Cricetulus griseus: one gene and its partners. The protein of the gene in region 3 purifies or fractionates together with the protein of the main gene of each other region. This does not show direct contact. Links are inferred from orthologs where the notes say so. Each region holds a gene or a part of one and is shown on either strand. Other genes may lie near its edges. The genes, in order: Tank, Map3k8 and Tnip2.

Region 1 (4,418 bases), on a different chromosome or scaffold from region 3:
GTTTTCAAGGAAAGATTACTTTTCAAAAAAAATTGCTTCAAACGAAACTTAAATGGTGTGGAAGAAAACAGCACAAAATTTGCAAATAGAAGACATTGGAAAAGGTTGTAAAGAATGACTTGCAAGCAGGAAAGCCAAGGTCTATATTTTGGATGTATTCCTTAGACGTTTCAAGGAACAGACCATGTTCACGAAACTCTTGTTAGAATATGGAGCGTTTTGGCATTTTTTTCTCACTTTACTTTCTGAAAGTAAACTTTAGTGTAGAAACTCATCACTGATAGGTTCTGTAAAATGAAAATATAGATGAATTTGTCTTATGAATATGAATGTGAAAATTCTCAGTAAATCACAAACATTTGCTTTCCAGTATGTATTTTCTTAATGTAAACTAGATACAAGATAATCAATTTGGACACACATTTTGCATACCCTCTTTGGATGTAACTTTCGAAAGCTGTTTGCAGGAAGCATATGAACAGCTGCTTTGTTTATAGATCTGGTTGCTCTGCCTGGATAGGGCTCCTTGGCTTACAACAACATTGTTTTCATTCTTTTCTGTTAGTTTGAGCTGTGAACTGAATTGTGAAGCCAAAATGATAGAAGAGAGGCGTCTAAGCATGTGGATTGAAGAGAAAAAGGAAATGTGTAGGCTTGGTTTGGTTTGATCAACCAATTTATTATTTTCATCTGAGAAATAACAAAATACGTTTTCTATTTATAAATCAGCTCAGTCACAGAAACACAGCAGCACCCTGATTTCTGCTAGGTCTTTTAAAAAAGCAGATCACTGCCTCATTAGAAATGCTAAAATATGACAGTTGTCTCTAATGTTACCAAAGACACTGAGTATTGTTTAACATTTATATTTTTTATTAAGTGCACCCTTAATAAAGCAAGATATATTTTTAATGATAAAGCATTTCCCTCAAGCCAAGAGCCAATGTCGTGGGTTTTTTTTTGGTTGTTGCTGTTGTTTTTTCATATTAACCACTAGGGAAATTCCCCTGAGATCAGAAATATAACAGTTGACTACTTTCTCCTCTGTTACGAAGCCCTGATCCACCAATTCTATCTAGTTGGTGTGGTGAGAAAACAAAAAGGAAGAAGCATGTCCAAGCATTCTTTTTGATCTAGAAATCACAGGTAAGTTATGTAATTTAGAAAAAACAAGATATCGATAAATGACCAGATAAAATTATGAAATCAAGATGTTACCAGTAGTTAAAACACACCTGAAAGAACATTCTCACTGGGATAATTCCCATGCTGTGTTCATAAAGGAGCAGACAAAGCAAACTGGCTTGGAATACATTCTACTATTTATATCTACAACGTGTAATGCAAAGGACCCCAGATGTTTACCAAAGCCTCAATATATAGCAAGAGAGGATGTTCACAGACGGGGAAGGTTTTTTACTGCACGGACAATCATTTCCCTTAATGTGACTGCACACATTTTCTAAAATTCCAACCAGAATTTTTCCCCAGGGGAATTTTAGTGATTTGTTTTGAGTCATCCTGGTGGCCATAGTTGAAAATGTTTAAGAGCTCTAGAACCCCCGCTGGCTTCTGGGCACACATTTAGGCACAATGAGTTCACATACAGTTCCACATCCCCCAGAGGCAGAGTAGTATGTTACCTATATCCTTACACATGCAACTGTACTCCTAGGGAGACCAAAGAGATGGCAGTGGAGACAGTTTCCAGGAATGATATGATCATTCTGTAACTTGGATAAAGTCATTTTCTCTTTTCCTCATTCTACTGCAGCTTGGGTAAAACATCCTAAGCATAGTTTGAATATTGTGAGAGGGCAGGACAGTGGTGGTAAAAAGCCAGGGAAAATGAACTGATGTGAGTTTATATTTAAGTCTTGTCTAACTATGTCACTGAATTACTACCACTGAAAATATTGGATCATTTTCCTCTAGCAGACACTTACTGTCTAAAAACTATCAATATGACAATACTGATAACAGTTCTTGATATTTAATCTAGGATTATCCTTACGAAAATATTATATAATCTTTAATATTAATGAAAATAAAGGGCTTGTTGGTAACAAAGTAAGACTTGATTACTATAATTAGAATTCCTTATAAAGCTAATAATTGATGTCATAAAATATTCATCATCATGTATTTCTTATGAGAATAAAAGTAAGTTAAGTTAATATTTGAATAGACACATTTGGTCATGCTGAAATTGATTTTTTAAAAGTATAAGCAAAAAGTATGACTACATATGCTTTTAATTTACTTCCACCTTAGTAAGCTAACTTAGGTCAAATATCTCTCAGTCTTATGGCATAAAAAAATCACTTCTTGAGAAGACTTACATATCAGATACAAACTTTTAAATTCATTTCAATTAAAGACATAAAAAATTCTATGTTAGGGGGAGGCTGGGCATTGGTGACACACACCTTTAATCCCAGCACTCGGGAGGCAGAGACAGGTGGATCTCTGTGAGTTCGAGGCCAGCCTGGTCTCCAGAACGAGTGCCAGGGTAGGCTCCAAAGCTACACAAAGAAACCCTGTCTCGAAGGAAAAAAAAAAAAGTTAGGGGGAAAGAAAAAGAGTCACAGTGTTTTAAAGTTTCCTTGGGTCTTGGCTTTTTTGAAGGCCAGATTTCTAACTGTGTCAGTGATGACCTAGGCACCACTGACTTGTGTCTGGAGCTGGTTAGCTGGCTGGTGCAGGAGTGGAACAGATCTTGCCATACTGAAGGCATCCCAACCACCTTGCTATGCTAAGAATTAATAGGAATTAGGAAGATTTGATTACCTCGTTTCCAGGTTACACGACTCCCTTCATAGACTACTTTTCTTTAAAGATGTAGGCAGGTACACGTTCTGGAAGCTGTTTTCACAGGCTCTGCAATGCTGCCCAAACTGTCCTGAGCTCTCCCTTGTGTTGAACTGGGGACTTCCACTAAAAATCCCCTGACTTGAAGACTTCCTTATTTGTAGCTATCAACAGCCAATCATGGCAAGATATTGAAATGAAGCAAAAACTACCAGAAAATATTCTGAAACCACCCGTGACTATAACTCTGGCTTCCTTTTGAAGCAATGATATTTTACCTGAATAGTTAAGGCATTAAAAAAAATTAGAAACTACAAACATGAATTTTTTTGGAAGAAGTATTTTCCATGTAAAAAGTTTTAAAAGTCAGCTTATTTGAAAATGCCATTTAGTCTTTGAGCCACATTTGACCCCAAACCATTGTATTTATAAGTAACAGGCAAAACTCATATTTGAGTATAATCTGAGTATATTTTTCTTTGCTTTCTGACTTACAGAGGTCACTTGGATGAAACCTAGTGAAAAAATAAGGTATGGCTTCAGATTCCAGAGTTTGAATATAAACCGTGGTAAGAAAGGTGAAGCAAAGAAGACTCTTCAGACAGAATTTCTAGTTTGAGACATAAGTCTCTGGTTACATAGATGAGCATATGTTCCAACACACCAGGGGAATTTCTCTCAGGCCACGTGGAACTAAGCTGTTAGTTTTACAAGGAAACGGAAGGCAGCAGTATTTGGACATTTTTCATTGTTATAAAATGTTAGAGTTGGAAATTTAGACAGCTTCTGTTCCATTTCCCTTTTCTTACAGATGAGTAAACAGGGGAGGTAAATGTTCAATGTCACAAAGTTAGAAGCAACAGTCGCTCTAAGTGACCTGAATTTAAGTGCAATGTCATATTTACTGCATTATGCTCTCCCATGGGAAGTCCAGGAGCTGGAACAAGGCTGGATCTAGTGGGAAGTTGCCCTGCTGAGTTAGGAAGTCTGTGGAGGCATCCCCCAGAATTCCAGTTAATAGAAACTAAAATTTACACTTTCTGATTTGTAGTCTAGTTTCTTTGCTACTTTAAAGCCCTACCATCTCATTACATATTACAAGCATGTTGGATGTAATGTTGCATATGGTGGAATTATCCTCTAAAAATATGTTTTTGAAGTTTCTAAAGTGCCGATTAAGAGTGTGTTTAAAACTGTTCTATTTACCCATTAAATGCACAGTGAAGCATTTCTTTCACATTATGTCCTTATAACAATCTTACTCATGAAATATCAGATGTTAAACATGCTTTTGTCCAATGGAAAACTAGAATCTAACTGTAAATACAACAAAGTGAAATATCAAAAACTTAAGATAGTATTGGTGTGAGGAAATTTATTCCTTATGAATTTACAGTTATGAAGCAAGCTTTTAAAAGCTTTTTTGGGAAAGTGGTGCTTCCATATTGACTTGGAAATACTCCAATTTTTTGTTGTCTCCATCCTGTAACCCTCTCTCTATTATTTACTTTGGCCATTGGGTTTGGCTGAGACCCAAACTTCTGGAAACTGGCTATTCCCAGTATATTGGCCTCAACCAGGTGAAACATTGAGAGAGACTTCCAAGA
Region 2 (3,589 bases), on a different chromosome or scaffold from region 3:
CATAGGAACATAACAGAAACTGTCACTACTGGCCTGCTGTCAGATGGCTCTGAGTGAATCGGCCATTTGTAAGGCACTAGTCCAGTATATTGCTGTAACATTAAAGTTGTTCTATTCACCCAAAATATAATGAATTAAACTTACACTGGAGTCTACCCACCAGGGCTCAAAGAGTTATAATACACACCAATATATACACAGAACATGTCTTCTGAGTTGAATGAAGCTCCCACACTTAAATAAGAATCAAGAATGTGAGTTTTAGGTTAATATCTTGTGAGGGCTACTTTTAACATGTCTGGCAAAGTGCATAGTGAATAAACTTGTCACCAAAATTGATCCTTCCCTTAGCTCTTCGCTCCCTCCTGTCTAGTCCCACCACCTGAGAAATGAGAACCTTGGGGCCCTAGGACATGCCAGAGTAGCTTCACAAAGGAGGGCATTACAGGGACATTCACGAATCACTAGAGGCCTCACTGCCCCCCTAAAAATGGGTACAATTCACTATCCAGAGATTTCTGTGCAGGGTCTGAAAAACCAACACCCAAGAGAGAAAAGTCCATCCTAGTTTGTTGCCAACAAAGCCATCCATCAGCCATATTCCAGGGTTGGTGGCCCCCGAACAATATTGAAGTAGCCAGCCAGAGCACCGAGGTCTATGTAGAGGGAACGCTGTCTCCGCAGCGCTTCAGACTCCTCCGTGCTACCCGTGCATGAAGAGTCTGCAGAAGGAACATGGAAACAATGAGAAAAACCAATGACAAAAATGACAGGGAGGCCCAGGAAGTAACAACTATATGTCCCTTCTGTGAAGAAATAACCCGGAGGGGCTCAAGAGACAGTAGCCCAGCTCTGGCTGTCACAGATAGCCTTAATGGAATAGCACATAGATCACAGGGTTCCAATGGCCAACTAAGACAAGGAATTGGGTAGAAACTTTGGCATGTTCTTCAGTACCTCATTTTTTCCTACTAGATACTGAGAAAGTAGGCAAGAAAAACAGGCACTCCAGGTTTGACCTCTGAGTTTGTGTTATTATCTGGGCAATCTTCCTATCTTGACCTCCCAAGGGAGTGTGTGTGTGTGTGTGTGTGTGTGTGTGTGTGTGTGTGTGTGTGCGCGCGCGCGCGCGCGCGCGTGCGCACGTGCATGTGTGCACACACATTCGCGCACTGTGTGTGCAATGCAGGTGACAGAACTCAGGCCTTGTGCCATGCCAGGCAAGTGTTCTGTGTCTGAGTTACAACCCCAGCATCTGTTTTCCTTTTTATTTCAAGACAGTCTCACTAAGCTGCCTAGAGTAGCCTTGAACTCACTCTGTAACCCAGGCATGCCTTAATCTTGTGGTCTTCCTGTCTGGACCATCATGCCCACATTTTTCTTTTGAGACAGGGTTTCAAGTAATTGAGGCTGATCTTGAACTTCTAACTGCCCTATCCAAGTGTTGGGACTACAGGAGTGTGCCACCAAGCCTGGCCTTCATCCTTCACCACATCCCCCCCCCCCACAAGTGACCACATTAGAGGTTTCTGTGGACAGGAGGAGGGAAGCCAGTGGCTGCAAAGGCACACAGGCATACACCCACATGCACACAGCAGGGTGGCCTACCAGCAATGTTCTCAGGAAGTTCCAGCTCCTTCCTGCTCAGCAGCCTCTTCCGTTCAAAGAGGGCAGAGTCCAGGCTCTGACATCGTGGCTGGTCCTCTCTAGGGGGATTCAAAGCTTCATGTTTCAGTAGGTCTGCTGCTGTTGGACGGTGGTTGGGGTTCCTCTCCAGGGCGGTTTCTATCAGCTCCCTCATGCCTGGACTGCAGTCACCAGCAATGTCTTCCAGGGGAGGTGCCTGCTTGTGGATCTGTCAACAAACCAGTTCTGTCAGCATGGATGGCATAGAGACAGATGCTCAGACAGTGGGGAGTGACCTACACCCCACCGCATGACCCCTTCAACTTCCTAGCAGCGGTTAAACCAAGTTTGGTTTAATGGCAAAAGGTACATGCTGTGTTTGAATTAGCAGTGACAGCTTCTCATGGGGGCACCAGAGATGGCTGCAACAGGGAAACGGCTGCCTCTGTCTTGTTCTCACACTCTACTCTAGGACATGCCATTGGGCAGAAGGAAGGAGGTTTGGGGGCAACAGAGAGTAATAACATATTTTCTTTTTTAAAAAAGGCATCTTAAAGAACTCATATACTTTCCTTGGCTGACAGAGTTGTAGGACTCTGATGCTTCTAAGTGTGTTTGACCACACGTAAGTATAATGGGATAGCATACAAATTATATCTACTCATTTCAGTCAGCTTCCATTAAAATAGACTTTCATTTTAATAATGGAATTGCAACCACCTCTGTGGGTCTCCATTCTACCATCATCTCCTCTCTTTGGTGTGCTTTTGGGATGGTGGGACTCACTGCACCCCAGCCCAGCTGACCCTCACTTACTATGTACAGGTAGGAGGGATAGGCCGATCGAGGGTAGCGCTTCACCCAGGGTGGGGTGCCTGTCTGCATGTGGATGAGAGTAGCTCCAAGGCTGTAGATGTCCGCTTTTGTGGAATGGCCCCTGCACAGAATCACCTCGGGGCTCATGTATATCTGAAAAAAAAAAAGACAAGGAAAGCATCATTTGTCTGGCTTCCTTTTCCCTAGCCGGTTCTAGAAGCTGGCTCCTTTGCCTTCATGACATTTGCTGCATGCTCTAGAGGGAATGCTACTGCAATATCCCTCAAGCCAAGGAGAATCCTAAGATGTTCTCTAGAACACCTCTTTCCCACCCAGCAGGTCTGACCTCAAAGGGCTTGAACTGATTTCCACTGATCTGAGTTCTGTAGATGTTCATCAGTTATATACAACTGTCTATTAAATCACCAATTCTGCTCAGACTTAAATGAGACTACACATATACTTCTCCCATTTATCACTTAATTGCCTAAAGGTGGCAGAATCCTGCAGGGTATTTACGTCAATGGTTTAGAAGGGAAGAGCCTGCAAAAATAAAGCATAAAGTTGGGGAAATGACTTTAATGAGTCATTTATACCTGACAAGTATCCCAGTGACTAACCATCAAAGTCCTCTACAACAGAGTATAAGTTCTGAGGCTGAAGCAAGAGTATTGCCAAAGCTCAAGGATAGCCTGGGCTACAGACTGACTGAGAACTTGTCTGAAAAAATAATAAATTAACAAAAAATACAGCATAATTTGCATTTGATTTCATAAGTCGATGTTGAGTAAGTAAGGTGATTTTCTAAACTTTATTTTTCTAAATTTAAGATGGGAGAGGAAAAAAGAAAGCCCCGGCTACCAATAATCTGTAGTCAGGGCTGGCACAGACATACGGTGTTAGTATCCTAGTTAACAACACAGGCTGAATAGCTCTAATTTAAGGGTACAAAGGACTCCAAAACTGGAAGCTTTTGAGCAGGATGATGCCACAAGTGGAAATTTCCACATATGACCTCATGTGACAGGCCACATTTAAAACACAGCCACACTGAGAATACCCTGCTAGCTGTCTTTCAGGCTAATGAACCCTCTGTTTATGCTTCAGTCCCATCCTCAGGATAACTCACAACAACACCACACAGATG
Region 3 (4,388 bases):
TCAGAGCTCCACTCTGTACTCATCTGTGGCTTCTGATGTGCACAACACTAAGTTAGTGGCACAGACGAGGTAAACTCTACATTTCCCTTCTGCTCTATTTTACAACTCTCCTTCCAGAAAGAGGGAGAAGTGGAGTGGAAGACATCTGGATGCTCTTGGTGCTTTAAATAATACATATAGAAAACAATGACAATGTAATAGAAAGTAAATCTGTATAATAAGGGTCAACTCAACAATACCAAGAATATATGTCTTTGCAAAGGAAAAACAGGCAAGCCATGTGCAAAAAGCATGTGGGATTATTTTATTCTTGCCTTTATTTTTCAGATGTTCTGAATTTTACCATCAGAAAAAAAAATGCATTTTTTCCCTCTTAAATTTTGATGTGGCCAGAACTGGTGGCAAAGTCCTGTAATACCATCTACTTGGGAGACTAAGGCAGGAGGATCCAAAGTCAAGGCCTTCCTGGGATTCACAGTGAGTTTAAGGTCAGATTGTGTAACTTAGTGAGACCAGGTCTCAAACTAAAAAGTAAAAAGAGAACTGGAGATGCAGCTAAATGGTAGAGTACTTGCCTAGAATGTGTGAGGCTCTAAGTCAATCCCTAACACCAAAGGGAGTAGGAATAGGAGAAAGAAAGAAAAATCTAGCTGTGGTGGTGAAATCTTGGAAACAAACATTCTCCTTACAGGCAGGCTTACTTTCTTTGCTGGGAAAACCAGGATAGCTATGGACCAAATGCAGTAACATGCCAGTATGAATCCAAATGTGGGGGGAGGGTGTCTGATTTACAAATAACATTTATAAGAAAAACATTTCCCTTGGTTCAGTTTTGTATGCTTATGGTATCTCACAGAAGCCAAATAACACCAAATGACAAGGAGAACCAAAGAATTTACAAATTATCACATACTTGACAGGCTCTTCCTGTCACTTCTTGCAATATAATACTAAAAGCCACCAATCAAAGGCATGGGTCTTCTCTCTCAGAGCTCCATCCCTTGAACCCTTGCATCTCCCAGGTCCCTGGCGCCCCAAACAAGGTTCAGAAACCCACATTCTACAGAAGACCTCCCTAAGACAGAACACAATACACAAAACCTGCATTCCCACAACTCAACACACATACACACTGGAACCTACACACATTGTCAAAAAGCAATGCCTGTATGTCCTTGAGACGCTCTAGGCTCCATGCCTCAGAACCTATAGTGTCCCTTTAAACCCTGCACCCTCTGAACCCTGAACATTAGCCCTGCTCAGAACTCCATCTCCTTCAAACCAAGTGCCCTGATGTGTGAATAAGAACGGCCCCCATGGACTCATATATTTGAATGCTTAGTTGGGGGGATGGCACTATTTGAGAAGGATTAGGAGGTGTGGCTTTGTTGGAGGAACTGTGTCACTGGGGCTGGGCTTTCAGGTTTCAAAAGTCCACACCAAGCCCATTGTCTCTCTCTGCCTAGGGATCAGAATGTAGCTCTCAGCTACTACTCCAGCACCATGCCTGCTTTCGAGCAGCCATACTCCCCACCATGATAATAACCCCTCTAAATCTGTAATCAACCCCCTCCCATTGAAATGCTTTCTTTTATAAGAGTTGCTTTGGTCATGATATCTCTTGAAAGCAACAGAGCTGTGATGAAAACAGCTACACACCCCTTTGGGGTCTGGAGCACAGATTGGAGAAGCTAACTACCAACAGAACCATGTGTTCAAGACTACCTCAGTACCTCAAGCTCCACAGATCCCTGCATTCCAGGATAACCTCCTGCTCCTCAGATCTGCCACACAGAACTTCATGAGCAAGTTTACCTCAACAGTGCCCCTCAAAGTCGACAGACCCAGGGGGTCTCTCCCAAACTTACCTCCATTATATGTCCCTCGGAACTGTTCATAACCTGAGCCCCTGAGGACCGGGTACTTCTCAAATGTCCGCATCCCTAACACCCTGGTGCTCACCAGAAACCTGTGTCCCAGAGACACCTGCTCACCTCTGTGCGTTAAATGAATCTCCAACCGCTCAGGACCCTGGACTCCACATACTCTCGCCCTTCAGACCCCCCCTCAGGGTTCCCTGTGTCTCAGACCCCCGCGCCCTTCAGACCCTTTGAGTCTCAGGACCTCGTGCCCCCTCACAACCCTGCTCCCTTCAGACCCCCGCGTTCCCCCTAGACGCCCATGCCTCTGGACCTCACGCTCTTCAGACCCGCACCACACGCCTCATATCCTCGCACCCTCATATCATCAGCGCGACCATCAGGACCGGACTCGGGCTACACTCCAACAAGCTCCCGAGGCCTCCCGGGGCAGCAGCGCCCGCTCCGAACCTGGCGCAGCTGAGTCTCGGTGGCTCCTTCCTCCTGCCGCCGCAGCTGCTCACGGAAGCGCTCCACCTGATCCAGAAGCGCGTCCACGAGCGACGGCGCCGTGTCCCCTTCCAGAGCCTCTAGGCGGGTGCGGAGGCTCGCGATAAGGGCGTCGCGCGCGGCCAGCTGATCTTGCAGGCGCTGCAGCTGCTGGCCGGCCTCGTGGTACAGGCTACAGAGCGCGGCGGCCGCGCGCGGGGCACCGTCCTGTCTGCCAGTCCTTGCATCCCCAGACGACATGGCTGTGGACCTTCTCGGGGACCCCGGATCCTCGAACTTCTGCGCCTAGCGGGAGCAACAACCGACCTTCCCGGAACTTTTCCCGCCTCGCCCCGCCCACTCCCCCGGAGCCTAATCCGCCCCCACCCACAGTTGGCTCCGCCTCACTCACTGCCCGGAGTCTGACTCCGCCCCCTCCCACTCATCGGTCCTACCCTGTCTTGAGGCTTCCTTCTGGGGGCTATCCTAGGCCTACAGTCGCGGCGACCCTATTCCCTCCGTCTGTGAAATTTTCCCGGAGTCAGACCCAGTCTGCGACCAGGGTTTGGGGTTCGGTTTCCTCTGCCACAGCTGCTGAAGGAAAGCAAATAAATCAAATTACTTCAAACATTGGACGTGGGGTGTAGTTAAGGTTTCATTGGCTGGGCTCCTTCCTCTCCAGGGACTTGGCTTGCGTTTCGTCACGTAGGGACACTGAGCTCAGAGAGGACTTCCCATCCAGAATGCTTGCTGGGTCCCAGAGCCAGCCACCAGACCCCAGAGTACCCCTAAATTCGAGTTAGAACTGCCTTAGTGCTAGAAGCTGTTCTTAGAACAGAAGACAGGAGGGCACTATCGCTTTCCTTCCCACAGCTTCCATACAAACGCTGTCTTCCCTCTGGGAAGTGCTTCCTCCCCCAACCCCACCCCACCCCCACCCCCCCGCAGTGAGGATCTTCCAAAGGGCCTTGCTAAGGTCTCATGGGGGTCCCTTCATGTGAGGATGTGTTTCTCCTTCTTTGCTCAGTCTCCTGTGCTCAGCATCCTGTCTGTTCCCCTGGTGTGGTCCACAGACAAGGTCTGGCTGAGCCTGTAGAAACTCACCCACTTGCAGTATCAAACTATAAGCAAAGCTAGACCCTCCCTGCCAAGTATTTATGGGATGAACACTGGGAGTGGCACACCTGGCTTACCTATGGTCAGCTCCTTTTTAGTCCTCAGAGCCAAGACTCCTGTTCAGAAAAGATACTGTCTTCCCTACGTGGTAGGGGTGTTGTGGCACTAGAGAATGGGTGTGTCTGTTTCTTTTCTATTGCTGAGACAAAAATGCCACCACCAAGGCAGCTTAAAAGAGAAAGCATTTTAGCAGGGCAGTGGTAGCACATGCCTTTAATCTTAGCACTCAGGAGGCAGAGGCAGGTGGATCTATGTGAGAAACCCTGTCTCAAAAAAACAAAACAAATAAGCAAAACAACATTTAATTGGCCATGAAGAGTACATCTTGACTGACTGAGGCAGCAGCAGGATAAAGAGGAAGGGGCAGGGGAGGGCACCACACAAAAGAACCCTAGCCCAGAGCTGATTTGTGCTTTTAAGTCTTCACTGTTAGTGCCATATGTAGCCTGGGGTAAGTGCTTTTGATCCCAATTGTGAACTACAAAAATAAACACCAAACAACCCAGAAACTTCCAACACACTCTGGGTCATATGTGTTTGGAGTTCAAAAGCTTTGGTTTTAGGTAGGTACGTATGACTGAGGTAACCACCCTCTAAAATGGAGGTCTCTTCCCAGTATCCATGCATACAGCCCCCATACAAAAAGTAGTAGTACTTGATGTCTGTAACTGAGAGGCCGCTGGGGGAAATGGTGGTGGGAGACCGCTGTAGCAAAGCCATGAGACACATTTTGTCTATTGACTCAGCCAGTTTGTCCACTTCAGTGAAGGAACCAGTTTAGAACTAAATCATCTGGCCCCGGTGAGGTCTCTGAGAGATTGCAGGCCCAGCTCATATGTTGGCTTCCATCTCAGAGAAGTTCCT

The links.
Region 1: the proteins of Tnip2 (region 3) and Tank purify together in Homo sapiens (affinity purification with mass spectrometry; 3 studies listed by BioGRID and IntAct, with this or other methods). This does not show direct contact. The link is inferred for Cricetulus griseus from reciprocal best matches to the Homo sapiens genes TNIP2 and TANK.
Region 2: the proteins of Tnip2 (region 3) and Map3k8 purify together in Homo sapiens (affinity purification with mass spectrometry; 3 studies listed by BioGRID and IntAct, with this or other methods). This does not show direct contact. The link is inferred for Cricetulus griseus from reciprocal best matches to the Homo sapiens genes TNIP2 and MAP3K8.

The regions. Positions count from the first base shown.
Region 1 is NC_048599.1:113,305,289-113,309,706, forward strand, and holds the start of Tank (TRAF family member-associated NF-kappa-B activator), read right to left. Parts: upstream 2,903-4,418; 5' UTR 2,791-2,902; intron 1-2,790.
Region 2 is NC_048596.1:209,943,202-209,946,790, reverse strand, and holds the end of Map3k8 (mitogen-activated protein kinase kinase kinase 8), read right to left. Parts: intron 2,596-3,589; coding exon 2,443-2,595; intron 1,856-2,442; coding exon 1,609-1,855; intron 723-1,608; coding exon 592-722; downstream 1-591.
Region 3 is NW_023276807.1:103,497,377-103,501,764, forward strand, and holds the start of Tnip2 (TNFAIP3-interacting protein 2), read right to left. Parts: upstream 2,948-4,388; 5' UTR 2,804-2,947; intron 2,699-2,803; exon of another isoform or gene 2,655-2,698; 5' UTR 2,610-2,654; coding exon 2,331-2,609; intron 1-2,330. UniProt on the Homo sapiens protein: Inhibits NF-kappa-B activation by blocking the interaction of RIPK1 with its downstream effector NEMO/IKBKG.